Linked DNA regions of Neurospora crassa OR74A. The protein of the gene in region 1 purifies or fractionates together with the protein of each later gene. This does not show direct contact. Links are inferred from orthologs where the notes say so. Each region holds a gene or a part of one and is shown in the gene's direction. Other genes may lie near its edges. The genes, in order: NCU02407, tca-7 and NCU00050.

Region 1 (9,948 bases):
GCTCGTTTGCAAAAGGCAAGACAACAATTCGGCTGAGGAGTGAATGTGAAGGCAACCTAGAATGATTGATGAAAGTCAACGAGAGTGGCAGCTTTCCCCACTGCTGTTGGCCGGGCAGCTCCCGTCTGTCTGGTAGGAGTGAGCTTCCCCAGCGTAAAACCAGCCGGGTGGGGTCCCAAGCAGCGGAGGACCCGCTTCATCTCTTGGCGCTCTTGGCCCCGCAGTCGACATGCCTGGAACCCTGCACCGACCGATAACCAAAAAAACTATCTGATAACGATAGCAAGGTCCCGATCCCGCGCTCTTCCATGCAGCGACGGACGAGAGAGCCTTGCAAAGTTTGGAGGTCGTGCCAATCAATCACATCTACACCTCCGCACGCGCATATTACAACATGGCACCCTCCATGAGGATAAAGGCTCCAAAATTGCCTGACAACCTCCTGAAGGAGCTCGGCGTAGAAGGTGAGCGTGCCTCCGTTCATGCGCCCATACAGCCATTGTCATTCCTGCCTGGCAATCAGGGTTCTCCGACGAAATCCTAACTCTTGCAGGACAATCTCACGGAGGTCGCAAGAATCAATTTCAGTCTAGAAAGGATCGCCGTAAAGCAGAGAGAACACAGAAAAGGATTCACCGCACCTCGTCCACAAGAAGTTACCATACCGAGCGCGCTACAGCCCCAAAACCACAGAAGAAGGTCGATGCCGCATCGTCAAAGGAAGCAAAGGAACCCAAGCCCATCTTGAAGAACGGGAAGAAACGATCATTGGAGGATGAGGATGAAGATGTTGCCCTCGAAGAGGACGATGATGAGGATTTCGATGACGAGGGCGATATCGATCTTGACGAGGACGAGGACGATGAGCTAGACCTCGACGAAGAAGACGACAAAGACGGCGAAGACGTGGACGATGAAGAGGAAAGTGATGTCCCAACACAAACCATATCGAAGTCGCAGCCCAAAATCTCAAAAACTGTCATGGAACGATTGGCGCAAGACGACAAGGAGATCGCAGACCTCGAAAAGAAGCTCGGCATCAAGGGACGCAAATCGCTTCCCAAGTCCTTCCAGGAGGATGGTCTTCTTGATCTACTAGAAGGCCTTCCTGGCGTAGACGACGAAACAGCCGAGAAAAGGAAGCGGAAGTCCGAAGCGGATGAGTGGCTTGCGGCGAAAAGGAGGAAAGCGGAAGAGGCCAAGAAGACGAAGGAATTCGAACTAGACGAGGAAGAAAATGAAGTCTCCGAACTGGACGAAGAGGACGATGGCTTGGACGATCTCTTAGAGGGATTGAACTCGGACGAAGACAACGACGTTGACCAAGACGAAGACATGGTCGAAGGCGATTCTGATGAAGATGGAGAAGAAGACAGCATCTTGGGCGAGGATGAGGGGGATTTTGGAGGATTTGACGAGGACGACGACGAGGACGACGACGAGGACGACGGCGACGACGACGAATCCGACAACGACGAAGAAACGCTACAAAAGCCGCCAGAACGGGTCCGCGAAAACCCATATGTTGCGCCTACAACTGGGCGGACTGTAGTGAAATACGTGCCACCATCGAAGCGACAGGAGGCGGGCTCAGAAGCGGAGTTGGTGGCCCACATTCGCCGTCAAACACAAGGTCTCATCAACAGGATGACAGAGTCTAATCTTTTATCCATCATTATGGACTTTGAAAAGCTTTACCGCGACAACCCGCGACAACATCTTACGTCGAACATTGTCGATCTCCTACTCATTCAGGTGTGCGAGCCAACGACGCTGCCTGATACGTTGCTCGTGCTTACCGCGGGTTTCGCTACGGGTATCTTCAAGGTGATTGGCATGGACTTTGGCGCACAGTTAATTCAAGAAGTGATCGAGCGATTTGATAGGCATTATGAAGAGGCCAAAGAGGCTGCAAAGGAGCGGCCAGACGTGCCGAAACAGACATCCAACCTCATCACTTTCCTATCCGAACTCTATAACTTTCAACTCGTGGGCCCTAACTTGCTCTTCGACTTCATTCGAATCCTTTTGGGTGATCTTTCGGAGCTGAACGCGGAACTTTTGCTCAGAATTGTGCGCATTGCTGGCCCAGCCCTCCGACAAGATGACCCCATGTCTGTCAAGGACATTGTTACCCTTATCCGCCCGGCTGTTGCCAAGATCGGAGAGAAGAACCTCAGCGTCAGAACTAAATTCATGATTGAGACCATCAACGACCTGAAAAACAACAAGATGAAGACGGGTTTAGGCGCTTCCGCCGTTCTCACGGAGCACACAACCAAGATGAAGAAGCTTTTGGGCACCTTGAAAACCATCAAGACGGCCGAGCCCTTGCGAATGACCCTTGCCGATATACGCGATGCCGACAAGAAGGGCAAATGGTGGCTTGTAGGCGCTAGCTGGGCAGGCAGAGATAAGGACAGTGACAAGAAGCCATTGACCCAGGACGGTGTCATACAGGATAGCGTTGACTCGGACGACGAAAGCTTTGTCTTGGAGGATGTCGAGGACATGCCTGACCTCGGAGAACTTGCCAGAGAAAACCAGATGAACACGGACGTGCGCCGGTCCATCTTTGTGTCGATAATGTCCGCCACGGACTACGAAGATGCCTACTACCGCATCCTCAAGTTGCGCCTGAACAAGGAGCGACAGAGAGAGATTCCATACGTGGTCATCCAGTGTGCCGGCGCAGAGCAGGTCTACAACCCATACTACACCTTGGTGGCCAAGAAGCTTTGCGGGGATCGCAAAATCCGGTGGTCGTTCCAAGACGCGCTCTGGAAGCTATTCAGGCGTCTCGGAGAGTCAGTTTTTGGCGATGACGCGGAGGATGAGGAGGATGTAGATGCGATGGACATGCGGCGGCTTGTCAACATTGCAAAACTGTTTGGGGCCATGGTGGCAGGTGGATCGCTAGGATTGGCAATTCTGAAATGCCTCAATTTGCCTTATCTACAAACCAAGACGCGGGCGCTAGTGGAGATCCTGCTGATTACTGTGCTTCTTGAAGCCGGAAAAGGCGGCGACAAGGATCGGGATGAGACGATTACTTCGGTGTTTGTGGCTGTGGAAGGGGTCCCCGAGCTTGCCAGAGGCCTGCAATGGTTCATCAAGAAGGTGGTCCGGAAGTCGGATCTCGCGGGAGGGGCGGCCAACACCAAGCTCGTCAAGGAGGGTTGCAAGACGGCCATGGCGGCCTTGGAGCATGCGCTGCTCGCCGCCGAAGGCTTGGTGGAATAATTTTGCTTTGTTGGATACCTGTATATGGATCGGATATCTTCGGGAATAGCAACATAATGATCAGGGATACAAGTGTGCCGGGGTCTATACAAAAGGCCATTGACCAATATCATGACAAGTTCATGGAACTAACCCAAGCATTCTCGCTCGAATGTAGTTACCTACTTTGTAGATATTAGCGTTGACGGCGGGACTGGAAAAGTTGGGGGTAGCTTTAAGTTGGGGAACTTGTTGTCAGGAAGGGCGATTTGCTACTAGGGATCCAGGGAGCAACCGACTCGAGTGTGCGGGAGCCCGGAAATATAGTGGTCTGTGAATAGCACTCAATGATGTCATTTCGTCTTGCAACGAAGGGACAGGGTTTCATGAGGGTCGGGCGGGACTCTTGATTGTGGACATGAAGAGGAGGCAGATGGTTTGAGATGAATTGCCTGCCATGTGTCATGTCGTTCGACAAACAACTAACCTCTAAGACGGGTTAGGGACAGGTTATGCTTCTCCAATTCGGCAGCTGGGCAAGCTGGGGTTATTTGGCGTTGACGGGCGGAGTAAAGAGGGGAGCAAAGAGGGGATCGCGCCAAGGAGCAAGATGAATGTCAAACACAACCTAAGCTGTCAGAAAAATGGCTACAATACATAGCGGGAGTGCAGAGATGTCAAAATTTTGGAGTCAGCTGCTGCACGCCAAGTTCGTCTTGACCAATCACAGGACGCAATGGAGCGTACCTAGTACCGTACGTATTTGGGGACGGGTTTCTTCGACGAAGCAGTCAGGGCAGCAGCGACAGTAAAGTAAGACGGCGAAGAGCGCGCTGCCCGTCCCGCCTAACACTGGCATCATAGTACTTTTACTTCCTGTAGCACACTACCTCTACACTACTAACACGATCAGGCAGTACCTACCTACCTATTTAGTGTAGCGTACGCGAGATTAGAGGTACCTACTACCTACCTAGGTAGTGGTGTTCCTACTCCGCTCCGTTCGTACCTACCTCTACCTACTCCGCTCTGCGCTGTCTCGAGCGGGCCAGCTTGGGGACGGGCACGGTGGAAAGCGGGTGCCCTTTGAGCGATGTGAGCCTCTGACGGGCTGGCAACCCGAACAAGTGGGACTGGACATTTTTCGCTTGCCGTGAATAGCTTCCGCCTCGAATCCCAACAATTGTCTCTCCCGCGGCGTTTTGCAGTTCAGTACACACTTTCGACGTCTCACCATCGAATCGCATTCCCTGCTTCCCCGGGCATCTCTCTGCAGTGCGCTCGTTCCTTCGAATTTTCCCTGTTTCCATTTCTGGTTTTTCCATTCAGCACATACTTTCACCATGCTGTCCCAAAGATTAATAGGCCGTGCTGCCGTCCGGTCCGCCTTCAAGCCCTCGGGGTAAGCTCACTGTCCCGGTTGCCGGCGGATGCCCGACACACTGTTTTCTCATGCGCGTACTGAGGCTGACCTGACGACCACATACAGGCTCCCTGTCGTCGTTTCTCCCAGGTTGAGGAGGACCTATGCGACCGAGTCTGGTCTGTTTGCCAACATCAAGAGCTGGTTCTCGTCAAAGGATTCTGGTCGGCTGACTGTTGATGTGCCCGTAGAGGAGAAGGATCTCGTCATCATTGGAGGTGGCGTCGCTGGCTATGTTGCTGCCATCAAGGCCGGCCAGGAGGGTCTCAAGGTGCGTCGCATCGCGAATCAACTACACCGCAACACCGACGAATGACGACAATATCTGACTGCTATCTCCCATGTTGCCTGGAAATAGGTCGCCTGTATCGAGAAGCGCGGCACCCTCGGCGGTACCTGCCTGAACGTCGGCTGCATTCCCTCCAAGTCGCTCCTCAACAACTCCCATCTCTACCATCAGATCCTCCACGACTCGAAACACCGCGGCATCGAGGTCGGCGATGTCAAGCTCAACCTCGCCCAGCTTATGAAGGCCAAGGAACAGTCCGTCAGCGGTCTTACCAAAGGTGTCGAGTTCCTCCTGAAGAAGAACGGCGTCGAGTACATCAAGGGTGCTGGCGCCTTCGCCGATGAGCACACCATCAACGTCAAGCTCAACGACGGCGGCGAGACCTCCGTCAAGGGCAAGAACATCCTTATCGCCACTGGCTCCGAGGTCACCCCCTTCCCCGGCCTCGAAATCGACGAGAAGCGCGTCATCAGCAGCACTGGCGCCATTGCTCTTGAGAAGGTCCCGGAGAAGATGCTCGTCATCGGTGGTGGCATCATTGGTCTCGAAATGGCTTCTGTCTGGTCCCGTCTCGGCGCCCAGGTCACCGTCATCGAGTTTCTCGACCAGATTGGCGGCCCCGGCATGGACCTTGAGGTTGCCAAGTCCATCCAGAAGATCCTGAAGAAGCAGGGCATCAACTTCAAGACCGGCACCAAGGTCGTTTCCGGTGACAAGACTGGCGAGACCGTCAAGCTCGAGGTCGACTCCGCCAAGGGTGGCAAGCCCGAGACTGTGAGTGGCCCATGATACCCTGCAGGCTATCTGTTCGTTGTCGTGATCTTCAAAGCTGACATTGTTCGAACACAGCTCGAGGGTGACGTTGTTCTTGTCGCTATTGGCCGCCGTCCCTACACCGAGGGTCTCGGCCTTGAGAACATTGGACTCGAGAAGGATGAGCGCGGCCGTGTCATCATCGACTCCGAGTACCGCACCAAGATCCCCCACATTCGCTGCGTTGGTGATGTCACCTTCGGCCCCATGCTTGCTCACAAGGCTGAGGAGGAGGCTGTTGCTGTCGTCGAGTACATCAAGAAGGGTTACGGCCATGTCAACTACGGCTGCATTCCTTCGGTCATGTACACCTTCCCCGAGGTTGCCTGGGTTGGCCAGTCCGAGCAGGAACTCAAGAAGGCTGGTGTTCCCTACCGCGTCGGTACCTTCCCCTTCAGCGCCAACTCCCGTGCCAAGACCAACCTTGACACTGAGGGCATGGTGAAGATGATCGCCGACCCCGAGACCGACCGGATTCTCGGTGTCCACATCATCGGTCCTAACGCCGGTGAGATGATTGCTGAGGGTACCCTTGCCCTCGAGTATGGCGCTTCCAGCGAGGATATTGCCCGCACCTGCCACGCTCACCCTACCCTCGCCGAGGCTTTCAAGGAGGCGGCCATGGCCACTCACTCAAAGGCCATCCACTTCTAAGCAGCTGGAGCGTTTTGGCGTTGAATGGCTCTAAGCACGGAAAAATGTGCTGTCTGGATTTCTAGCATTGGGAGTATGGAAAGAGGATGGGAGGAGGTGTGTACTTGTACTGTAGTCACGGGCTTTCCCTCGAGGGTTTAATAGGGGATTTTCACATGACATGCTAAATAGACGCCGCTTGTTGGTTGGACTAGGGCTATTTGGCCTTGCGGGTCCTGGTTGGGCTCGAGACTCGATGAATACACGAGATTTTAAGAGATACAGAAAAGCTACCTTGGTTGCCAGATGGGATGGCAGGAAGGCTGCTGGTTATTTTATGTTAACATTGCCGAGTTATCAGAGGGCTGTGGGTTTTGGATGATTCTTGTCTGTTCTCCATGCTGGTGCAATTACTTCTTAGTCCGAGTAGCAGTGCCCATCAATGCCGGTCTTCAACTTCGTTCTGGTGTTAATGTGTATTCTCGTGTACAGGGCATGTTGCTTGGCATGACGTTATTTGTTTGATAAGCCATCGCTCAGGGACCCTAACCCTCTGAATATCCTTGGGACCCTTTGTTCTATTCTTCCCCTATGTTTCAGGGACATGCAGGCAGTTGTTACCCTGAACACCCAGGGTCCAAAGACGTCGTTGGCGATCAGCAATGTGGTTTAATTTCAGACGCAAACGTTGGAGTGGCAAGAACCCTTGCGTGACATCTGGTATTGTATGACCCCTATGTGGTGCAGCAAACGCCAAGCGGGATAGCCTGGAGCTGGCAAGCTGGGTAGACGCGCCTGTGTGGACAGCGGTGAGGTTTCCACTCGGTCAACCCCTCCAGTAGGAATGATCTTATCCAATGTCACGTCGTCCCATGCCCGTTGTTTTGGGTAGCCATGTCCACTGCCTAGGAACAGCGCCCGCATCAGAATCGACGTATCGAACCACTCACCAACCTCTGTGGCCCTATCCGTCCCACCTTCAAACGTCCACCCACCTACTAGTATCAACACCTTGGATCTCTATCAAAACTGACCTTGGGTTTCCTGAACTGTTGCGAGGACAACACCACAACCTTTCCCTGTCCACAGACGGCGGGTGTTTTGTTCCATCCAGTAGCGAATCCCTCCATCTTTTTCGTTCAAAACACAACAGTCTTGCGCAAAGACAACAATGGCTTCTAAACCCCCACCACCATCACGCGCCGCTGCCGAAGATACCGCAACGGCTCAGCAGTCGACAGTTAAGACAGCAGAGCGGACATATCCCTTCATTTCCCGCCGTGAGATCGAGGCCTTGATTTCAGAAGGTCGCCATATCATCATTGTCGATCAATATGTCCTGAAGGTAGACGCTTGGGTCAAGTATCACCCCGGAGGTGACAAGGCCATCAAGCACATGATTGGGAGGGATGCTACCGATGAAGTGAACGGGTGCGTACAAAACACAATATCATGCACCAACCGCGACAGTCTGGATCCAGTCCGGTGTATAGTTATCGGACCCCGGTGAAGAAGGAGATGCTGACTTCATAGCGTGTACTTTTTTTTGGAATCACTACAGGTTACATTCCCCAGAAGCAAGAGCTCAGATGAACAGGTACAGAGTGGGTAGGATATCAGGGAGATGGAAGAATTTCTTGCCGCCGATACAAGGAGGCAAGTTCAGGCCAAGAGGAGAAGAAGGTGAAGAATGGGAGGAGGAGTCCCCAGAAATCAGGGCCAGAGCTGCGAACTACGATGAGGATACTAGCTTCGGATCGTCATCATTTGCGAGTCAGGCTGCCTCTACTGAATCCGAGAGCTCACGGACCCCTTCGCCCGCCCCTTCCCCGGTCTTTGATGATGGAGAATCGGCGCCGGAATTGAACCAACTCCGCGCCCGTTCTAACGCCCGGTCAAAGTCGGCTGTAAGCCGATCCGATTCCTTCACCTCGATTTCCTCCATTGAGGATGAGAAGGCCAGTGCCAAGGGCGCCGATGGTGGCCCTAGGGATGGCATGGCCCATCTCGACGCTCTAACAAGGCAAGAGATCAGGCTCGATCTCGACAAGTACCCTCCGCTCGATGAGGGAACGCAAGACACCGTCATCCGAAAGTATCGTGAACTCAACGAGCGCATCAAGGCGGAGGGACTCTATGACTGCAACTATGTTGCTTACGCCATCGAAGGATTCCGCTATACTCTCCTCTTCTGCGGGTGTCTTCTGTTCCTAAAATGGGGTTGGTACGTTCCTAGTGCGTTCTGTCTCGGCTCTTTCTGGCACCAGCTAGTCTTCACTGCCCATGACGCCGGACACATGGGCATCACGCACCATTTCCATGTCGATACTGTCATCGGCATCATCATTGCCGACTTCATCGGTGGTCTCAGTCTAGGTTGGTGGAAGCGCAACCACAACGTTCACCATATCATCACCAACAGCCCTGAGCACGATCCGGACATAGAACACCTCCCCTTCTTCGCCATTTCCCATCGTTTCTTCACTAATCTGCGGTCCACATACTATGACCGTGTCATGGAGTACGACATCTTTGCCAAATTCTTCGTCTCCCTCCAGCACTACCTCTACTACATCATCATGATGTTCGCCCGCCTGAACCTCTACCGTCTCTCGTGGGAGTACTTACTCAAGGGCCAGGCACCCAAGCACGGTCCTGCCTGGTGGCACCGGCATCTCGAGCTTGTCGGTCAGGTCTTCTTCTGGTGCTGGTTCGGTTATGGGATCATGTACAAGGCAATCGATGGCAACTGGAACCGCTTTGTTTTTTTCATGATCTCCCACGCGGTCACCAGCCCGTTGCACGTGCAGATCACTCTGTCACACTTCGCCATGTCCACGTCTGATCTGGGCCCTCATGAGTCCTTCCCGCAGCGCATGCTGCGCACCACCATGGACGTCGACTGCCCCGAGTGGCTTGACTTTTTCCACGGCGGCCTCCAGTTCCAGGCCATTCACCACTTGTACCCGCGCATTCCTAGACATAACCTTCGTAAGACGCAGAAGCTAGTCCAAGACTTCTGTAACGATGTTGGGATCCCTTATGCGCTGTACGGATTTGTGGAAGGCAACAAACACGTCATCGGGAGGCTAGCTGATGTAGCTAGGCAGGCAGCTATCTTGAGGAAGTGCCAGCAGACTATTGTTGATGGCAGCATCGGACATTCTCATGCTCACTGATTGTGACGCTTTCGAATGAGGGAAACGTATTGCACATGGAACTTTTATAAAAGGAGGGGATGGTCACAGGCGAGCGACGAGATATGGTAGATGGGCTACACGGGCTACAATGGCCCACAAGTCTGGATTAAAGACAAAGCCACGCTTTGTTCAGTATATATATATTTTTTTCTCTACTCTAAAAAAATTGTAAGAAAAATCGGTATTCGGGCTATGCATACCTGTACTTTCCTTGAGCAGGCAGTTTTGCACGTACGTCCTAGAGCAAGGCCATTCAAGAGATATCACTACGTCTGGTCTGACTGTGAATCAAACTATAAACGACACTCTGGGACCTGAGCTTTCCGGGGGTGTCCTTGTGATTGGTTTCGACCCACCGGACGGAAGGA
Region 2 (10,100 bases), on another chromosome or scaffold:
GAGTTATTAAACACCGTCCAGAACTGTTTCAGGAACTCGGCGGTCGTAGCGCAGGTTAGCGTAGCGCGGTGGGCAATGTCCGTCGGCAACGACATGGGTCGTTCTTCGGACGCATTGGTGGTGGTGGTGTGCGAGCCACCGTGGGTGGTGGTGGTGGTGAGGTGCGACCGAGCGGACTTCATGCTCTCGAGGATCTGGTTCTGGGCGAACCGTAGCGCAGCGCGGGAGCCGACGTGTTGGGGCTTGGGTCCGCTTTTAGAGTCCAGAGAGTTATTACCCTCGTCGTCAGAGTCGGGATCGACCCCGATGGACCGGTGGAGATCGATGCCGCCGCGCCCGTCCGAGTCGAGAGTGTCCATGTCCGCTTGCACTTCGAAGAGCACGTCCGAGGGGACTTGGGTGGCGTAGAGGCGCGCGTCGGCGGCTTCTTGGTCGGTGAGCGAGGGCTGGTTGCCTGTGAAGAAGGTGGAGGTGTCCTTGACGGAAAGCCGGATCAGCTGGGCCTCGGCGTCGCCACGGAGGTCTTGCAGGGCGAGTTGTTTGGATAGGGCGTCGGCGATGCCGTCTTTGGAGTAGGAGGCGGCGGAGGGGTCGACGTCTGTGGGGGCGACGTTGGCCATGATTTTCTCGGAGAGCGAATTGAGCGTTTTGATGATGGGGATGTTGGCGCGCGGACGCATCTCGACGTCTTTGAGGTTGCCACCCCTGAAGCCACCTTGGTTTTCTTCGTTGCCTTCGATGTTGATGATGGGGGGCACACTCGTGGCGGTGATCTTGGCTGGGACTGCCATGGTGTTGTCGGCTTCGAGATACTTGTCGAATAAGGGGTCGGTGTTGTCATTGTCGGTGATGCGCTCGCCGCGGAGCTTCTTGGAGAGACGGCTGAGAAAGAAGCGGGACCAGAACTCGGACTCTGTGAGCTTGGGGACGTTCTCGTTGTAGATGCGCTTGACCAGTGGGTGTTGTTGGAAGATGAGCTGGACCTGCTCATGGTTGATGTTCAACTTGAGCTCGCCGTTCTCGGTCCGGGGCTTGATGGTTGATAGGACGTTATATGAGCCCTTCTTCTGGTTCAGCTCGATGGCATAGGCACGTAGCAGGCTGATGCGGGTGGCCCAGAACTGGCTGTTGAAGGAGGCATCTGATAATGAATCTGGCTTGGACAGCTTTGCGTCGTTATATATATGGGCCAAGGCCTTATCCTTCTTCATGAGGGACTGCTGAAGTTCTACATCGGCCTTTAGCATGTCGTCTTCGAACCAGCGAAACGGCAAATGCTTCGAGTTCACGGCACTGGCCATGGCCATGGCGGCAGAGGCGCCGGCGCCGTTGGGGCCAGACTTTGCCGGCTTGGGTAGAGAAGGGTCATCGCCACGAAGCTCAGCAATGATCTGAGAGAGAAGATCCTTGATGGCATCGGCCTCATTCCTGGCCTCGGTGGCATGTGTGAACTGGAAGGGATAGGCAGCCGGATCGGCTCCGGGCGCCTTGGGTTTCTCGACGACTCTCAAGACGACCTTGGGATTCGTCTTGGGGGTCTGTTGGAGGTTTGTGATGTTGGATACGGAAAGTGAGATGACGGGTGGGCCAGTGCCCGGCAAGGGGCTCCATATCAGGGCTGTCTTGTCTGGGGTTAATGTGATGATGCCCTCTCTTTTTTTGTAAGAGGCCTGTCCCCGGGGAATCTCAATCGGGGCCATGTTGGCTAGGTAGTCCTCTCCCTAACCGCCCGTTGAATATCTCAAGTCCACGCTCAATGCCCAGTTCCCAATCTTTTGATGTTATAAAGACGGACCAGCCTCGCAATGTGTTCCTTGACAAGGATGTATTAACGCGATACGTATGTCACAGCGTGCTCGTGTACTACGCCTTACTGATATCGAAGAGAGACGGGAGAGTCGTCAAGGTACACGGCATTAGACGATGATGGACGTGGTGATGTAGTGTAGTAACGCCAAGCAAATCTAATCCAGGTCCCGTCAGTCTTGAATCCGGGGTGAGGCATTGGCTGCTGCGGATGTCGTTGCGGGATGGTGAGTGGGTGGTGAGTTTACATAGTGTAGTAGGTAGTTTATGCGTGGCAGGCAGGCAGGCGGCAGCTGAGGCTGCAGTGGAGCACGACTACTAACAATTCCATGGTCGCCCTGGGGCTGTTCAACTAGTGTAAAGAACTTGAACTTCAGGTTTCAGCTCGGGAAGGTTCCACTTTGAACCGACAGACAGTGTCACGGCAGCTGTCCACCCAGGTCGGATCTCTGGCCACCACAGGACCTGAGCTCTGGGCGACGAACTGCTGCAGGTGCCGTGGGTGGGAAATGCCAAGGATCTGAAGCCAGCGCAGAGCTTGGACAACAGCAACTGCACTGCAGCGAACCAGTCACGGCCAGCCAATGAGAGTTGGGGGATTTAACACTGTGACGTGCAGTCAATGCTGCAACTGGCTCAATAATGAAGAAGAAGTTGAAGGTGGCAGCTGACGATGCAGGATTTTGTAGTGAATTACACAATCGAAACCAACAGCCAAACCTCAAAGTCATTTCGATAAACCACTCGAGACGAGATCGAGACGAGATCTAGACTCGGTTCGCTTGTCTCTTCTTTGACAAAATGGATTTGATAAATGACTTTTGCAAAAGTCACATGATACTACGGCAAGTCACAAGGCGGTCAGTGCCAAGTAGCTAATTGAACCCAAACCCATAACCCAGGATACCGACCAGACCATGTCTAGCGCAGTTCCATCAGTTCGATGCCCCAAGCGAAAGCTTCGAAAAGTTCGCGCTCAAAGATGGGACCGAAAGCGTTACCGTACATTTCCACCTCGGACATGGAAGTTTTCCCCACTTTCCACGGTAAGATTGGATACTTGGTCCAAAAAGACGGGAACCGTGATTTCCGGGGAAAAGGGACTCGGGTCAGGTCTCGGAGCCTCCAACTCCAGTCTCGACGGGAGGTGCGGGAGCCAATGCGTAATGAAATAATTACAGTAGCACTCTCCAGACCGTAACTTCCAGCTCTTCCACACTTTCCCAGTTTGCTGCGTGCCCGATGACTTGTCATGGAGACACAGCTCCCGTCCCCCTCCTTGAAACCACAGAAACTCCACGACTTCCGGTTATGCTTGCTGTTACCGTGGTCACCGCTCGAACCGTGAACTCCGTCGTGACTTTTGGACAAACAACAAGAGGGAGGACGGATTCGAGTAGATGATGGATATGATATCTCTTCGTGTATTCCATTGTGTACGCTACTACGTATGGGTATGTAGCAGACTGAGCAGTAAATAACTGAAGGTAGGCGAGTTTGCGGCTATGGAGGTACCGAGAGAATCTCACATTGATGTCCCCTTCAAGTTTGTTGGGTCCCGGGCGTCTTCGATGTATTTGTTCCCAGTGCGAGAAGCTGGGTAGCTCCACCCAGTTTCGCCGGCTCCACAATGTTAAAGCTATGGCCAAGAGAAGCATCCAGGGCGCACTGCACTGAGTGCGCTTGTAGCGGCGCAACGGCGGGAGCCGAGGGGGAGGGAGCCTCACTTGTGCTTCAGCAAGTGCCGTCATCGTCCCCTCCACAGAGCCGTGCAGATGCCTTGATGCTCACTGTACGAGCTACTTCAGTCCACTCAATTCAGTTCGTTAGTTCTGTCAATTCCACAGGGCGGGCAGAACGGGAGTCAGCAGGCATGCACAGCAGCACAGCTGGACGGCAGCACTCGCTCGCTCTTGCAGTTTGCACCGACAGGTCGACCGACCGCCCGACTCCAGTGAGTGGACGGAGCAACTCGACGCACCTGCACGGCGGGCAGAGTGAGGCCCTTTTTTTCCGTCGCTGCATTCCCGCCGCCCCTTCCCCCGACACCAACGAAACATCAAAAACACCAACGTCTGTCGTCCCCCTCCCCTCCAAATCTCGATCCTCTCGTCTTCTCTCCCCCTCTCTCCCCATTCCCCCCCTCAAGAGTCGACGACGACGACCGAGACCTAGACTTACTCCGCCGCTCCTTTTGCCTTTTGCGCATCCCCCCCCCCCAAATCTCCCCTCTTCCAGATTGTACACACAAAACAAAACCCCGCTGCTTGGATTGCGCTTTCGGTTTCTGCGTCCTAATACCCTCACCTCACAACAGCCACCCATCATGTTGCGCGGTTCCATCCGGGCCCTGCAGACCGCAGGCGCCTCAAAACGATGCTATTCCCAGGTCGCCCAGACCACCAGGGCCTCCCTCAAGCCCGCCGTTGGCCGCCGTCCCCTGGCCGTCTCCCAGCAGAGGCGCCATGAGAGCGCCCTCCACAGCCCGCCCGACCCCAACGACAACTTCCTCTCGGGCAGCGCCGCCAACTATATCGACGAGATGTACCTCCAGTGGAAGCAGGACCCCAAGAGCGTCCACGTCTCGTGGCAGGTCTACTTCAAGAACATGGAGAGCGGCAACATGCCCATCTCCCAGGCCTTCCAGCCTCCTCCCAGCCTGGTTCCCGGTGCCGCCAACGTGGTGCCCGGTCTCGCTGCCGGCGCCGGCGTCGGCATTGGCGAGGGTGCCAACGTCACCAACCACTTGAAGGTCCAGCTCCTCGTCCGCGCCTACCAGGCCCGTGGTCACCACAAGGCCAACATTGACCCTCTGGGCATCCGCAACACTCCTGCCTCCAAGGGCTTCGGCAACATCAGGCCCAAGGAGCTCACCCCCGAATACTACGGCTTCACCGAGAAGGATCTCGACACCGAGTACAGCCTCGGCCCCGGCATCCTCCCCCGTTTCGCCCGCGATGGCCGCGAGAAGATGACGCTCCGCGAGATCATCGACGCCTGCGAGAAGATCTACTGCGGCTCCTATGGTGTCGAGTTCATCCACATCCCCGACAGGGAGAAGTGCGACTGGCTCCGTGAGCGTCTCGAGATCCCCCAGCCTTTCAAGTACTCGATCGATGAGAAGCGCCGCATTCTCGACCGCCTCATCTGGTCCTCCAGCTTCGAGTCCTTCCTCGCCACCAAGTACCCCAACGACAAGCGTTTCGGTCTCGAGGGTTGCGAGACCCTTGTTCCTGGTATGAAGGCCCTCATCGACCGCTCCGTTGACTACGGCGTCAAGGACATCGTCATTGGTATGCCCCATCGTGGCCGTCTCAACGTCCTCTCCAACGTCGTCCGCAAGCCCAACGAGGCCATCTTTTCCGAATTCGCCGGCATGGCCGGTGCCGATGAGGAGGGTTCCGGTGATGTCAAGTACCACTTGGGTATGAACTTCGAGCGCCCTACCCCCTCGGGCAAGCGCGTCCAGCTCTCCCTCGTTGCCAACCCCTCGCATCTCGAGGCTGAGGACCCCGTCGTCCTCGGCAAGGTCCGCGCCATCCAGCACTACAACAACGACGAGAGTGACCACAAGAGCGCCATGGGTGTCCTCCTCCACGGTGATGCCGCCATCGCTGGTCAGGGTATCGTCTACGAGTGCTTGGGCTTCCACAACCTCCCCGCCTTCTCTACCGGTGGTACCATCCACTTGGTTGTCAACAACCAGATCGGTTTCACCACTGACCCCCGTTTTGCCCGCTCCACTGCCTACTGCACGGATATCGCCAAGGCCATTGACGCCCCTGTCTTCCACGTCAATGCTGACGATGTCGAGGCTGTCAACTTCGTCTGCCAGCTCGCTTCTGACTGGCGTGCCGAGTTCAAGCAGGATGTTATCATCGACCTTGTCTGCTACCGCAAGCACGGCCACAACGAGACCGACCAGCCTGCCTTTACTCAGCCCCTCATGTACAAGCGCATCAGCGAAAAGAGCCCTCAGATCGACATCTACGTTGACCAGCTCCTCAAGGAGGGCACCTTCACCAAGGAGGACATCGAGGAGCACAAGCAGTGGGTCTGGGGCATGCTCGAGGAGAGCTTCTCCAAGTCCAAGGACTACCAGCCCACTTCCAAGGAGTGGACCACCAGCGCCTGGAACAACTTCAAGAGCCCCAAGGAGCTTGCTAGCGAGGTTCTCCCCCACATGCCTACCGCGGTTGACAAGCCGACCCTTGAGCACATTGGTACCGTCATTGGCAGCACTCCCGAGGGCTTCCATGCCCACCGTAACCTGAAGCGTATCCTGACCAACCGCACCAAGTCCGTTGTGGAGGGCAAGGGCATCGACTGGGCTACCGCTGAGGCTCTTGCCTTTGGTACCCTCGTCAAGGAGGGCCACCACGTCCGTATCACCGGTCAGGATGTCGAGCGTGGTACCTTCTCTCAGCGCCACGCCGTCTTCCACGACCAGGAGACTGAAGACACCTACATTCCTCTCCAGCATATCAGCGAGGACCAGGCCCCCTTCGTCATCTCCAACTCTTCCCTCTCCGAGTATGGTATCCTCGGTTTCGAGTACGGTTACTCTCTCCAGGACCCCAACGGCTTCAACATGTGGGAGGCCCAGTTCGGTGATTTCGCCAACACTGCTCAGGTCATCATTGATCAGTTCCTTGCCTCTGGTGAGAGCAAGTGGATGCAGCGTACCGGCCTCGTCATGTCTCTCCCCCACGGTTATGACGGCCAGGGTCCCGAGCACTCTTCCGCTCGTATGGAGCGTTTCCTCTCGCTTTGCAACGAGGATCCTCGCATCTACCCCTCCCCCGAGAAGCTTGAACGTCAGCACCAGGACTGCAACATGCAGATTGCCTACATGACCTCCCCTGCCAACCTCTTCCACATTCTCCGCCGCCAGCTGAAGAGACAGTTCCGCAAGCGTAAGTTTCCGTGGTTGAACTAGCACGTATCTCGTCAAAATGCTAACTTTGTGTCACTTAGCTCTCGTCATTTTCTTCTCCAAGGCGCTCTTGCGTCACCCCGTTGCTCGTTCCGACATCGAGGAGTTCACTGACGACGCCCACTTCCGCTGGATCCTTCCCGACTCTGCTCACCAGACTGGTGAGATCAAGGCCCCTGAGGAGATTGAGCGTGTCATTCTCTGCACTGGTCAGGTCTATGCCGCTCTCCTCAAGCACCGCCAGGACAACAAGATCGACAACGTCGCCATCACTCGTATCGAGCAGCTCCACCCCTTCCCCTGGGAGCAGCTCCGTGAGAACCTCGACCAGTACACCAACGCCAAGACCATCGTCTGGGCCCAGGAGGAGCCCCTCAACGCTGGTGCCTGGTCTTACACCCAGCCTCGTCTTGAGACTCTTCTCAACCACACCAAGCACCATGACCGCAAGCACGTCATGTACGCTGGTCGTGCTCCCAGCGCTTCTGTCGCTACTGGCAAGAAGTCTTCTCACGTCAAGGAGGAGAAGGAGCTTGTCGACATGGCTTTCTCTGTTACTCAGAGCAAGCTCAAGGGCGAGTAAAGGGTGTGTCGGAAGAGATAGCGATGATGAAGAAAGCAAAGTAAAAAGGAAGCAGCAAAAGTCGAACAACCACCAACACGGCGGAGACCTAGGTCTGTGTATTATGGATGCGCGTGCATAAGGACGGGATTTCGGGGCGGATAGAGAGTGTTTATTGGTTTTGGGATGGGAAGGTGTTCTTCCTTTGTTCTTCCTCTTCCCTTCACTGACGAATACTACATGGTGTTTTTCTCTTGTTCATAATTGTATCTGTATTCGGTTCCTGTTCACTGCATACCTGGGTTGTTGGGTTTTTGGAAATAATGAATGGATGTGATACCAAATGTTTACTCTCCTTGCACAACAATACATTCATTCGATGATTGTTCAAGCTTGATCTCATTCTCCAGCTTCGATCTCAAGTGACCTGCTTTGTTTTGTTTACTTTGGTGGACTTGTTTGTCCCTTTGAAAGGGGGGATCAACAAGGGGGTAGCACCGTCCGGTAACCCCGGAGATCATCCTCACCTTCCTACTATCCGCAGATCGGACTGACGAGATCTTGATAGCGTTTACATATCTTGCAGCCCAACTGATACACTACGTCCATCTACGCTGCACTTTCACCTTATCTCAACAACTTGATGCGGCTGATAGGCCGCTATATGATGTGGACAGTTGCACTGCACTAATACCCGAGAACGGGGTAGCGTCTGTAGGTAAGCTCCCTTGGCACTTAAACGGAAGCTCCTCCCCACAAGTAGTTGAGAGCTTTGACGATCGTGTAACTTACAAGACATACGAACATACCGTATCACAAAGGTATCATGGTACTTTAATTTTCATCACCTCGCCGGGGGACAGTTCCCTGAAATATGTACAGTAATCCCCAGCACACCTGGCATTTTCTTAGGCACAAAAGACAAAAAAGTGGCAGAATGGATGATGGCAATGGATGAATGAGGGGGGGTTCAAACCCCCATCTTGTGGAGAAAAACTTTCACCGTGTCAACGAGCGAGCGAGCGAGGGATTATTACCCGAGTGGTTCCGAAAGACCCGACCGCTAGGACAAGCGTCGAAGCGTTTTAAAGAACGACGGGAACGAACGGACTTTGTGGGCGCGGAGAACCGAGCGGAGTAAACAAGACAATCCCCGACATCACCGAAAAAAAAAAAAAAAAAAAAAAAAAAAAAAAAAAAAAAAAAAAAAAAAAAAAAACGAAACGACACGAGACGAAAAGAGCCGCCGGCCGCTTCGTGATTGATTGATGATCCGGGCGTCCGTCGGCCAATTGCCATTGCCATACATATGCCATATGCCATATGCCATATGGCAATGCCCAAAAAGACCGAAAACGAAACGAAACGAGGCCAACGCAGCTGGGTACATTACACTACACTACACTAATGTAATGGATTGCAAAGCCCCACGAACGGTAACATTGATGGAGGTAGTAATAGGACAGGAAACGTACACTACAATAAGCTCCTGAAAGAAGATACCTCTACGTATGTACAACTACATAGTAGACATGCGAAAAAGGAAAGATGGCGATTGGTTGATAGGTAGGTATTCATGGTCTACTACGAAGATAAGATCGAAATGAGAGAGAGAGAGAGAGATAGACGGCTAGACTAGACGGTCACGGAACAGCCTCCTCGCTCAAAATAGTGTAGGCGCAGGTAAGTAAGGAAGCACAAAGACAGTTGCTTGAACTGAAAAGATGTACAACTGTACTTCGAATACGGTACATATGCTTCTGGGTAGGTAGGTAGTGAGAAGAAGTAAGTATACTAACAAGCCAACTCGTGATCGAAGAAGGGTTGCTATATTGGAAGCATTGAATGGAGGAACTGGGAATGGCGTCACTACTCCCTCTACCTATCCTCCGCGTTCGTGTTCGTGAATCCCACGTTCAACATCTGTGAGATCCGACTGGACGTGCTCAAGTTATTATAACAATATGGTTACCTCCTGCACTGGCAGGTTGTATAGCGTTGGTGCTGATGTCGAGCATCAACTATAGTGTGTCACAGAGATGTCCAGCTGCTTAACAGTATAAACCATTCTTCATCAAGGTTGGTGGTATCAAGTCACTGGTAAACCTTTCACATGGCTACATCAACATGGCGTTTTGATTATCTTACGGCTAGCTGGCTCCCCTCCCTACAAAAGGAATAGGCGTAAAGTACCTTCACAGTGCACTTTGATATGTAGTAGCCAGGAGCTCTCAGTCTTTCGGTAGCCCGGAATAGGATGGAGCCTCTTAGTTACGAGCTGGGAAGATGGCGGATATGTATCATCAGAAATAGCAACATGGAAACTGGGAAGTTTTGACAAAGTTCGAGTCGTGCTTCCCTGACGATCCCAGTGCAAAGCTCTCCTGTATTACAAAGATGGATTCTGTACTATATCTCTTATTGTGTGGCAGATATAAGGCGGTATTCGTGGTCCCAGCCGGATGGACACAAGAAGGTTGTAGGAGAGAGTGAAAGAAATAAATGGTCGGGGCATGTGAATATCGTGTAATGGGTAGAGTATATCCAGCACGGTGGACTCATCGTAACGTATTTTGTCACTTTCCCGTTGACAACTTGACGTGGAAAAGGCAGTGTGGCAAGTCCTATATCGATTTTATATAGGGGTATCATAACTTCCAGCCGGCATGTATCGCTCTTCTTTGTGCTAATAAGCATCCCTGATACATGTCCAATCTCTTTTGTCCGTAAACTGTACTTCCAGTATTAACGTAACCCCCCAAGATAACCCTCAGCAAACCCCCTTCCTCTCTCATT
Region 3 (10,064 bases), on another chromosome or scaffold:
CAACACCGGCAAGCACACTAGCCATCTTGATCTTCGCAACCAGAGTGATCTCAAAACATTTCAGAACCTACTCGCCGAAGCCGACGTTCTCATCGACGGATACCGGCCCGGCGCCCTCGCCAAGTTTGGCTGCGACCCTCAATCGCTGGCAAAACTAGCCCAACAGCGCGGGAACCACGGCTTCGTCTACGTAGCCGAAGATTGCTTCGGCGGAACAGGTGTACCCGGAGCCGAATGGGCTGGTCGTCGCGGCTGGCAGCAGATCGCCGATTGCGTCACTGGCGTCGCGTGGGCGCAGGGCCAGTTCATGGGACTAGAAAACGAGCCCAGCGTGCCGCCCATGCCCATGTCGGACTACGGCACCGGCGCTTTGGGTTGCGTGGCCGCCATGGCAGGCCTGTACCAACGCGAGACTAAGGGCGGGTCGTGGATGTGTCGGACCAGTCTCTGCCAGTACGACATATTCTTGCTCAAGCTGGGACTGCTTCCGCTTCAGGAGCAGGAGCGTCTGAAAATGGTGTTCGCGGGCCCGTTCTTCAAGTTGCGACATTATGACTCTGTCGACAAGGTCAGTGGAGAGGCGCTCAAGGCTATGCAGCGCGCGTACCCGCATCTGTTTGGGCCGGATTTGATGCTGAAGGCGAAGAGCAAGGGCTTCAATGGCAAGGATATTCGCTGGCCGAAGGAGGCGATCGAGGTGGAAGGACTGCTAATTCAGCATGTGCGTGCCTCAAGGCCGAATGGGTTTGACAGGCCTGGCTGGGAGGGCTGGGAGACTGATTTGATCATGGATGGTGAGGTGAATTTGGCTGAGGATGATGCCGTCTTCACCAACACCAGTGTTACACCTGCGCCGAGAGAGGAACAGCATCAACAACAGGCCGGAAGTGGAAGCATGAACTCAGTCCCGCAGCGTCGTAACAGGATTGCGACAATGAACACTGTTCTCGCCACGGCCTAGGAGGAGCGTGTGAGGGGTGGTTCTAAGTCGGCAAAATAAAGCGCGATTTTGAGAGGGGAGGTGGGGGTATTTGGAGTCGTCGAAGGACATCCTGAGGGGAGAGAGGATGGTGGAGGATCGATTATGTGCGTTTCCAAAAATCCTTGGCGGCTGAGCGTTGCTTTCCATCATGACTTGTAGTGTTTCAAGCCAACAAATCAGTAGGCAAGGTTAGCTAGAAGAAGTCTACCATTTGTCATAAAAAAAAAGAGACAAACATTCGGTTCCGTCAGTATAGTGAAGGAGTGACACTTCAAATGGGTTGAGGTTTATATGTAAAGTTATTGCTACCTAGATACTGTTCCTCACTTCGGAAACGGATGTTGTTAATGCAAAGAGCGAGATTTTGTCCGCCAAGCAACTGTGATCTTCTCTAACTGTATGGTATAGGCATATGTAAAGCCCATAAAACCATAACAAGGGACCTTGGCGCAGTTGGCTAGCGCGCAGGTCTCATAAACCGTATGATCTGGCTTAACGTCAGAGTAATCCTGAGGTCGGGAGTTCGAGCCTCCCAGGTCCCATGTTTTTTGCTTTCTTTTCACATGAACCAAAATGATTCAAATTACTTGAGCTTTAACATCATATTATCATTAGTTTCTTTCTGCGTTCGGTTCCTTCTTTTTTTCCCTCCTATGTTTGCTTTCTGCATGGATAACTTCCAGCCTACCCAAGGTGGAAGGAAGAACAACTCGACACCCATTCATTTGGGCACAGTTTTACATACAATATTTGCTTTTTGAGTACAAATCTTCGCTAGTGGTTTGCCAATCATATAGCCCCCAGCTTGAAAACATTTTGATCTGGGCTTCATGAACAAATACTTGAAGGGGCAAGCGACTCGAGACACGCTGCCTACCTTCGTCAAAGCCTTGGAGTCAGCAGCTTTGGACACACTCCCAAGGTATTGATCCTTGGAAGTTCAACTTTCCATTCCTTCGTCTATTTGATTCCATACCATCTGCGTGTTATTATACATATGTTGATGCTACAGTAGTCTATACAGAACGATATCGTGTCCTACGAGTCACGGGGGCATACCTAACCGCAACCGCAACTCCTTTCGCTCCCGGCTCACCTTTCCAAGCACGCCCGCTCAATACGCGCTAATATTCGCACTCGGCTTGACATGGACCAACCGATCAATAGCCCTTCCATCATCCAGCGCCCATCCAGAAGTCATATCCAACTTATACTCCACGCCCCTCAGATAGACCTTGGCAAAGCCCTCACGGTAGAACGACCTCCTGAGGCCATCATACGCCCCGCGAAACACTTTCGCCGCGTCCCTGAACGGCAGGGTGAGCAGATGCTGCATCCTTTCCTTGCGCTCCTTCTCCCTGGCAGCCTTCTGCTTGCTCGCCGCAATGATCTGTCCGGTCTTGGTGGTAGGGAAATTCTTGCCCACGTTTTTCTGCGCGCTAAGGGTGTTCAGCTTCTCGCACAGCAGCTGCATGCGGAAGGGCATCTCGACCTCGGAAGGGTGGTAGTACTCCTTCTTGTTGGGCAAGAAGGGGATGGCGCGGCTGTAGGCGACCTCGAGGTAAATCGGGGTAGGGGTGGTGACGGGAACGGCCTTGGGCTTGCTGGTGAGGAGCTCAGCCCATGCCTTGGACTTTTTGGTGGAGGCCGAGGCTGCGCCATCGGTGATCTGGGAGACCACCTGAGAGGCCGGCACGGCCTCGATGTGCCGGATGATGCGCCGCAAGCCCATGAAGAAGTAGCCGCCCATGCCAATGGTCATGGCGCAGATGACGCCGTAGGCATAGGGGACCCAGGTGGACAGGTCCGCCGGAGGGTTGAGGTGGACGCTCCAGTAGTTGTAGAGCGAGTAGGCGATGCAGAAGCTGCCGGTGGTGAAGCTGGCGAAGCGGAACCAGGCGTGCGAGTGAGCCTCGTAGAGGAGGGTCCGGCCCTTCTTCGCTAGCTGTTCGGCATATGAGGCGGGGACCACAGTGGGAGGAGCGGTTACGGTAGTGATGACAGTGGATGATGAGGTCGGCTTCTTTGCTACCTTCTTAGCCTTGGAGGCAAAGAAGCGTGCCGTTTGGGCGGTGCGGAAGCCGGAGCCGGAACCGGAACCGAAGACCAGGACGAAACGTGTTACCGAAGCTTGAGATGCAGTCCTGGCACATGGCGCCGTGCGGTGTGCAAGCAGGACGAACTGGCTGCTGAGCCTACTGGAAATGGAAGCCATGGTGCTGTGTTGGATGACGGGCGGTAGTTCTGTACGGCGCCGGGGTAGCTGCCGGGGGACGGAGATCGGCAACGGAGTTTATGTGGATTTGAGGGCGAGCGGCTCCGGTCCGGGTCCTTGTCAGTTGACGGCGGGGAGGGGAGGGAAACTGGATCACGGTGCGGCCCGGCCACCTGCTGCCGTTTCGTTGCGTTTCGGGGCTTGTACGTACACTACAAAACCGTTCGTCAGGTTATCTTCGGACCCGGCCCCGCTCCCAGGTCTCGAATATTTTAGCGGATTCCCCTCAGGAACTCGGTCCGCAATGGAGCTCCGCTGGTGGGGACCGGTTCTTGGCTGCAGGGGAGAATTTGGAGGCCGAAGACGGGGGGGACGGTGAATGGGGGCATTAGAAAATATGGGTCTGATCACGTGCCAAGTCGCTTTTGGTACCTTCTCCATACCAGCTTGTAATTACGTCCGCGAACAGCCGTCAATACCCGACTTCTTTGCAAATTACCAATTAGTATTAGGGTTAGTTAGGGTTAGTTAGGGTTAGTTAGGGTTAGTTAGGGTTAGTTAGGGTTAGTTAGGGTTAGTTAGGGTTAGGGTTAGCTCCGGGGGTGCAGGGGGCCGGTGAGAGGCCCCCGCATGTGAATGTGAATCGTTAATATTGACATATGTCAACCATATGCCGGCCATATGTTCTGTAATTACGGTAATTATACGGGTGACTTTTGATACCTTCGGCTTAAGGAAAGTGGAGTATGCACGGACCAGTCTAATGCCCCTAATCACCATGCCCGAAGACGGGCTGACGGGGGAGGACATGGATGTCCCCAATCCTTGCTGACTCTACACTACAGTAGCGCGAGGATGATGACAACCCCGGGCAACTTCCATTGAAATTTGGCTCCAGTTTTGACTGTAGCGCGCGTCCTGCGCAGAGACAGCTGCTCGGGTGCTGCACGCCAGTGATGTGTGGTGAAGACGTCGCCCAAAAAAAAAAAAAAAAAAAAAAAAGAGAGGTTCGTTGCCCAAAGAGGTTTGGGGACATGGGGCGGTCGCGGGGGTTCATCGGAGGATTTGGAGGGTGGTCCAAGCTTCCCACGGTCGTTTCCCCAACATGTCGCTCATCGACCCTCATCAGCATCCACAAGCTGGCGACAGCTTTTTCTGGGTTGGTTCCCGTCCGTTTTCTGTCGCCGCCGGGTCCGCAGCCAGACTTCTTGACAGGAAGACAAAAAGATCCACTGCCCGCTGCCCATCCCGTCGACCTCGCGGTGGAATTTAGCATTGAACCTGACTCGTTTGACATACGTCAAGCATAAGGCTCAATTGGAGATCCCCAGCAAGCAGCAACCACGAACCCCATTCTCGATTTCCTTGCTGGAAACCACCATAGCCCTATCGCGATATCCACGTTGACCAGGCATTTCACGTCTTCGTTGCGACAACACCACATAATCATCCGCCATGGCTTCGCTAACAGCAGCTTGTCGCATCTCTGCCAGAATGGCAGGGCGCTCCGTCAGAGGTCGGTTCTCTCGGCTCCCGTCACCTGCCCGTCAACATGATGCCCGCTTTAGGTGCCTAGAAGGTCATCACTTGCTGACTTGGAGCAACATGCCATGTAAACAGGTTTCCGTACCTCTGCCGCCGCTCTCGCCGCCCAAAACTTTACCATGCCCGCTCTGTCGCCGACAATGACGGAGGGCAATATCGCGACCTGGAGGGTGAAGGAGGGCGACAAGTTCTCTGCCGGTGACGTGTTGTTGGAAATCGAGACCGACAAGGCCACTATGGACGTTGAGGCGCAGGATGACGGTGTCATGGTCAAGATCATGAAGAACGATGGCGCCAAGGGTGTTGCTGTCGGCGCCCGGATAGCTGTTATTGCGGAGGAAGGAGATGACATTAGCTCTCTCGAGATCCCAGCCGACGCAGCCCCACAGTCCAAGCCAGCCGAGTCAGCACCCTCGGCACCTCCCCCACCGACCACCGCGGACCAGTCTAACGTTGCCGTCCCCGAATCCGCTCCTCAGAATGCTTCGTCCAAGTCGGCTCCCAAGCCTCCGAAGAGGCAATACCCCCACTATCCTTCCGTCGCCCATCTCCTCAAGGTCAACGGCATTGACGCCGCTGCCGTTAAGGATATCACCCCAACCGGCCCCGGCGGCCGTCTGCTCAAGGGTGACGTTCTTGCTTACCTTGGTAAGATTAACGCCCAGACGCCGTCCACCGTCTCCGAGAGGTTCGAGAAGCAGTCGCACCTCGACCTTAGCAACATCAAGGTTGCCAAGAGCACCGAGGCTGTCAAGGCCACTACCGAGAAGGCTCAGTCCAAGAAGCTGGATGCTCCCGCTCCTCCTCCCGTAGCTGTTGTCACCGCGCCTATTTCTCTGTCCGCCGCCATCGATGTTCAGAACAAGCTTCACAAAACCATCGGCGTCTTCCTCCCTCTTTCAACCTTCATTACCCGTGCCACCGAGATCGCCAACCAGAAGCTACCCCTTCCCGCAAACTACCAGCCTACTGCCGATGAGCTCTTCAACCAGGTTCTCGGTCTTGACAAGGTCACTCGCAAGGAATCTCGCGGCTCCTATACTCCCACGTTCGGCTCCTTCGTGGCCCCTCAGCGGGCAGCTCGCAAGGCTGATATCATCGATATTCTCGCCGCTCCCTCCACGCGCGTTGCTGCTTCTGCTCAGAGCAAGTCCGCCGCCCCCGGATTGACCACTTCTGGACCCAACGTCTTCAGCCTTCAGGTACCCAAGTCGGAAGAGAAGAGGGCCCAGGCCTTCCTTCAGAAGATGAAGCTTGTTTTGGAACAGGAGCCTGACAAGCTTGTACGTGCCTAAAAAAAACTTAATGATCTGTTCATTCTTTTTCATCCTGCGCTCCCTCAATTGCCTTTTATAGAGAGGGAATAAAATGCACATAATGCACATGGGGTTTACTTGCTTGACATATGTTGGTATTGGATTGTATGGAGTAACTTGTTAGCACTAGACTTCCACTTTTATGGCTTCATGATCTAGGTTCTCTACTCTTAATGTTCGGGAGGACAACATGCGCTTATGTGCGGACATCCTGGGCATTTTTTAGTCGCGTTTCAACCGCTCGAATAACCGAGACATGATTGCGTTATGGTTGGCGTGCCTTTAGCCCATGAGCTCTGTGCTCGACGGTAAAGTTCTCCGCTCGTATGGAGGGATTTGCCAGGCCATGTTTCGGTCATTTGATCAGCTCGTACGTCCAACCGCCATGCAGCTCCTGTTCATGAGCAGGTACACTGTGACCTGATCTTCACAGGTCATCCGTCAAAAACTCGAGGTACGGGAGGAAAATGATTCAGTTCGAACTCGATGTTGATCAACATCATAAGCCAGGCCTCTGTCACACAGCGGTAAGGTATATTGTATCTTGGGCTATAAGTTTTTCTGGCCGCCAAGTACACTGGAAGACTTCATGGCACATAAGTGATAGACCTCCGTAGAAGAAAGAACCAGCTTTTTTAATCATTTCTCTCAAGGTCTGCCACTAGAGCCTTCTGGAGGAGGCTGAGATTGAACCACACTATGTGCATATAGTGTAGGCCTCATCTCGTTCGAGACCATCCATCAACTCATCATGTATTCAAAATAGAGACACTTGACAGATTAATTCTTTCCCACAAAAGACACTCGAGCCTCGAATTATCTGAACTTACTATCTCAATACGGTAGAGGTGTCCATACCACCAGGACCTTCGTAAAGAGCCATAAAGAGCCTTACTGGATGAATGGTAATGGATCCTGTTTGAAACCACATTGGGGCACTCAGTCCGAAAACACCTGCGGCGTGTACCAAAAGCATTCGTACCCCTAGGGGAGATTGAACGCTAAAGCCATTTCCTGGTATAAGCCGAGTGAACATTTCCCACCCCACGATGAATTCCCAATGATTGCTATATAGGCCCACCACGTCTACTACACCTATCATCACATGGTCTGGTCCGCAATCACATATCCCAATACATCCACTCGTCTCATATGAGGTTATACTCATGCCTCCTACATCTCCAATCACACCCCCGCTTTTACTTCTACCTCCTCGCCTCTCTTTTTCCCATATACCCATCTTGTCCAATCAAGCACTGACCATATCGTTGTTTAATATTCCAAGACCAATTTACCGACGTCTAGTCTCCAGGCTATCTTCGGGTCGGGCACCCAGGACCCTCGATGAAGATCTTTGATACCTACCTTGGCCGGTTTGCCTCAATCCGTAATCAGTTGGCCTGATGGGGCAAATATTGGGAGGACATACATGTACCTGAAAAGCTTTCTGAATTTGTGTGATGGAGACCATGGGATATGTGGTATGAATATGCGGGGACGTTAAAGTGAGTGAGGGGAGGAAGGCAACGAAGGGGAGAACCGTGTTCGGCGTCATGGCCTCTATATCTTTGATTCTTGAATATGAGCCAAATGCGTTGATGAGCATTCTGCACGGTTGAAACGACCCGAAAGATGAGTCCAAGTTCAACTGTGGGAAATTGCAAAAGGCTTCAATGTCCTGTTGTGAGTAGCTCTGGATCCTCAATCCTGGGACTTTCAAAGCCCTCAATCTTCCACTTTAGGTCCAAGCCCTTCCTAGATCCTCCGCTCACTTACATCCAAGAATAATCTGAATAAGTCTCATGTCTCCGCATCTTTGAATCTTCTCCAGATCTGGAACTGGAAACGGTAACCATCCGCTTCGCGAGGCTTCAAAGTTCAAACTTGGTCTGACCGAACCCCCATGTACAACTCGATTGAAACAACTTCAAGACCATGGGCCGCGCGGCTTGTCTTAGACACTCGTGGATAACAAATGACTTGGAAACGGTTCATCTTTTCCATTTACACCTAAGGCTGCGTTTGTTCTCGTACGGCTTTCGTATAGCGCTTGAAAAAGCTCAGTTCACTCAACTGGGTAGCTCGACTCAACTCAACCCAACTAAACTCAATTCGATATTCCCAAGGCGAGTTCCAACTTCTCTCTGGACACGGATACTTGATGACGTGGCCGCCTTTCCGAGTATTGGAAACATCGCACATGGCCCTTTTTTGCACGAAAACCGTACCAGATCAAATTAGATCAAACACAGCCTAAGTTGTGAATTGAGGAGATACCTAAGTATATGGCATCAAGGGTTGTAAGGCACAGCTTTCGATGAAGTCTATACTTGGCTAGGTTAAGATTGCATACACTAACGAGTAACGAAGCAAAGTTATCTGATGTAATCCTCGCTGTTCTTTCAATCAGAGTAAAATTCGTTAACTTTTCCAGAAAGTTTCCGGGTTCAGGTGTCGGTAAGAGCCAACGTCCACCTACAAATGAGACCTAGAAGCCCGCAGAGAATAGAAGTAGACGCACAAGAAAGGACATACTTACCTGCAGGATTTTCAGAACCCTACAACAGAGTCATCAGGTGTAACAAGCTGTGACACAAGTCACGACATGCAATTTAGTCGGTGCATAAGTTTCTGCCATACACCTACCTGGGATACCCCTATGTGTGAAGCTTCAAGGTCAAGCCATCCGACCGGGGACACATCAAGCCAGTGACATAAGACCGAAAACCAAACCACAACAGTTAGCAGGATAAGATGAGACGAGATGCAATGAGATGAGACCATACTCGGTTCATTATCAGACCGTTGCCCCGCATATGTCGGTGATGTCAGAAGAAGCTTTGTAAATCTACCTGGGATTAGCATGTATTTCAAGATGTTTGATCTGCCGACTTTGCGCCGCAAGTCTCTTGGTGCTACTTTGAACCTTCTTCGGACACGCGGGTGAAAGAAATATATTGTTGTTGGAGTGCCCGGTAACTTCGGATGATTTTGTTGATGACGACTGACAAAGATGAAGCAGGATAGGACTCCGGAGTTTGAATTTCTCGTTCAGAATATCGTTACTTCCAGACTTGAAGTTAGGTACGCAACCAACACAAGGCGATATCTCACTAGTTAGGTATTGCAACAGTACAGCCTTGTGTGCGTAATCTAGAATGAAGTGTCATATGGGAAGGTGAGTTGTGTGTAAGTGTAAGCCTGTATCTACGCTCCGTATAACTCTTTCTTCACTTTGTCGTACAGTGCCGACGTGAGTGTTGCCTTGCCGGCGTCCCACGTCCCATATCAAACCGAAAGGGATCCCCCGACTTCGGCAAGCCGGTATTTTCCTATTCATGGTTGCTTTCCGTGATACCGGCGATATCCTCTCCATTGTGAAACGTGAGTCTTTGTCCCTTGGCAATATCAATGGCGGAAAGGGTGCGGGAAGAAGCGAGACAGCGTCATCTTCGGTTTAGGGTGAGCACCCTTACCTTGCCTTACCTCACTTCAGCCTGCGGTCCCATGTCAACGGTCGATGTAGGCATGTGTTGTCTTGACAAAGAAGATGATGGCATGGTGCCAGCTACTCCCGGTAATCGTACGTTATGGGAGTGGAATCCAAGGAAAGGCTGTCCATTATGGGCGTATTGTGTGATATGCGTTGTTTGTGACGGATTCTTGGCACTCTGTTGTCTTTGTCCCGCGGCGACGACGAGAAGGCTATAGAGCCTCAACTACCATCCTCTAGAACCCTATCGTCCGATACATATGGCCATGTGTATGCGAGCCAAAGAGGTCGTTGCGTTCATGTATCAAGGGACAGCCTTGTCCGGCAGATTTTGATAGCGCTGTTGAAACTTGAACCAAATGATCGCTAACGAGGCGAGCGAGGGTCTATAGATCCCACATAGAGCCTACGTAGTATCCATTCGTGTCGCAATACTCTAGGTTCTGTCGGTATCGGTTCAACTGTAAGTCTGGCAAATTACAATATGAACCATAGGTACGCTTCACAGAAACT

The links.
Region 2: the proteins of NCU02407 (region 1) and tca-7 purify together in Saccharomyces cerevisiae (affinity purification with mass spectrometry; 5 studies listed by BioGRID, with this or other methods). This does not show direct contact. The link is inferred for Neurospora crassa OR74A from reciprocal best matches to the Saccharomyces cerevisiae genes LPD1 and KGD1.
Region 3: the proteins of NCU02407 (region 1) and NCU00050 purify together in Saccharomyces cerevisiae (affinity purification with mass spectrometry; 3 studies listed by BioGRID). This does not show direct contact. The link is inferred for Neurospora crassa OR74A from reciprocal best matches to the Saccharomyces cerevisiae genes LPD1 and PDX1.

Annotation. Positions count from the first base shown.
Region 1 is NC_026507.1:2,603,930-2,613,877, reverse strand, and holds NCU02407 (dihydrolipoyl dehydrogenase), read left to right. Parts: upstream 1-4,097; 5' UTR 4,098-4,565; coding exon 4,566-4,624; intron 4,625-4,711; coding exon 4,712-4,764; intron 4,765-4,836; coding exon 4,837-4,916; intron 4,917-5,003; coding exon 5,004-5,708; intron 5,709-5,783; coding exon 5,784-6,401; 3' UTR 6,402-6,841; downstream 6,842-9,948. Other genes in the region: NCU02406 (nuclear protein), read left to right, coding at 395-464, 554-3,243; NCU02408 (fatty acid desaturase), read left to right, coding at 7,552-7,811, 7,942-9,559.
Region 2 is NC_026502.1:1,591,927-1,602,026, forward strand, and holds tca-7 (2-oxoglutarate dehydrogenase E1 component), read left to right. Parts: upstream 1-3,661; 5' UTR 3,662-3,679; coding exon 3,680-6,722; intron 6,723-6,783; coding exon 6,784-7,325; 3' UTR 7,326-7,929; downstream 7,930-10,100. Other genes in the region: NCU05423 (hypothetical protein), read right to left, coding at 1-1,700; NCU05426 (WD repeat protein), read right to left, coding at 10,096-10,100. UniProt on the Saccharomyces cerevisiae protein: The 2-oxoglutarate dehydrogenase complex catalyzes the overall conversion of 2-oxoglutarate to succinyl-CoA and CO(2).
Region 3 is NC_026503.1:2,409,971-2,420,034, reverse strand, and holds NCU00050 (pyruvate dehydrogenase X component), read left to right. Parts: upstream 1-4,308; 5' UTR 4,309-4,652; coding exon 4,653-4,713; intron 4,714-4,817; coding exon 4,818-6,037; 3' UTR 6,038-6,824; downstream 6,825-10,064. Other genes in the region: NCU00052 (alpha-methylacyl-CoA racemase), read left to right, coding at 1-961; NCU00051 (hypothetical protein), read right to left, coding at 2,097-3,197. UniProt on the Saccharomyces cerevisiae protein: Required for anchoring dihydrolipoamide dehydrogenase (E3) to the dihydrolipoamide transacetylase (E2) core of the pyruvate dehydrogenase complexes of eukaryotes. This specific binding is essential for a functional PDH complex.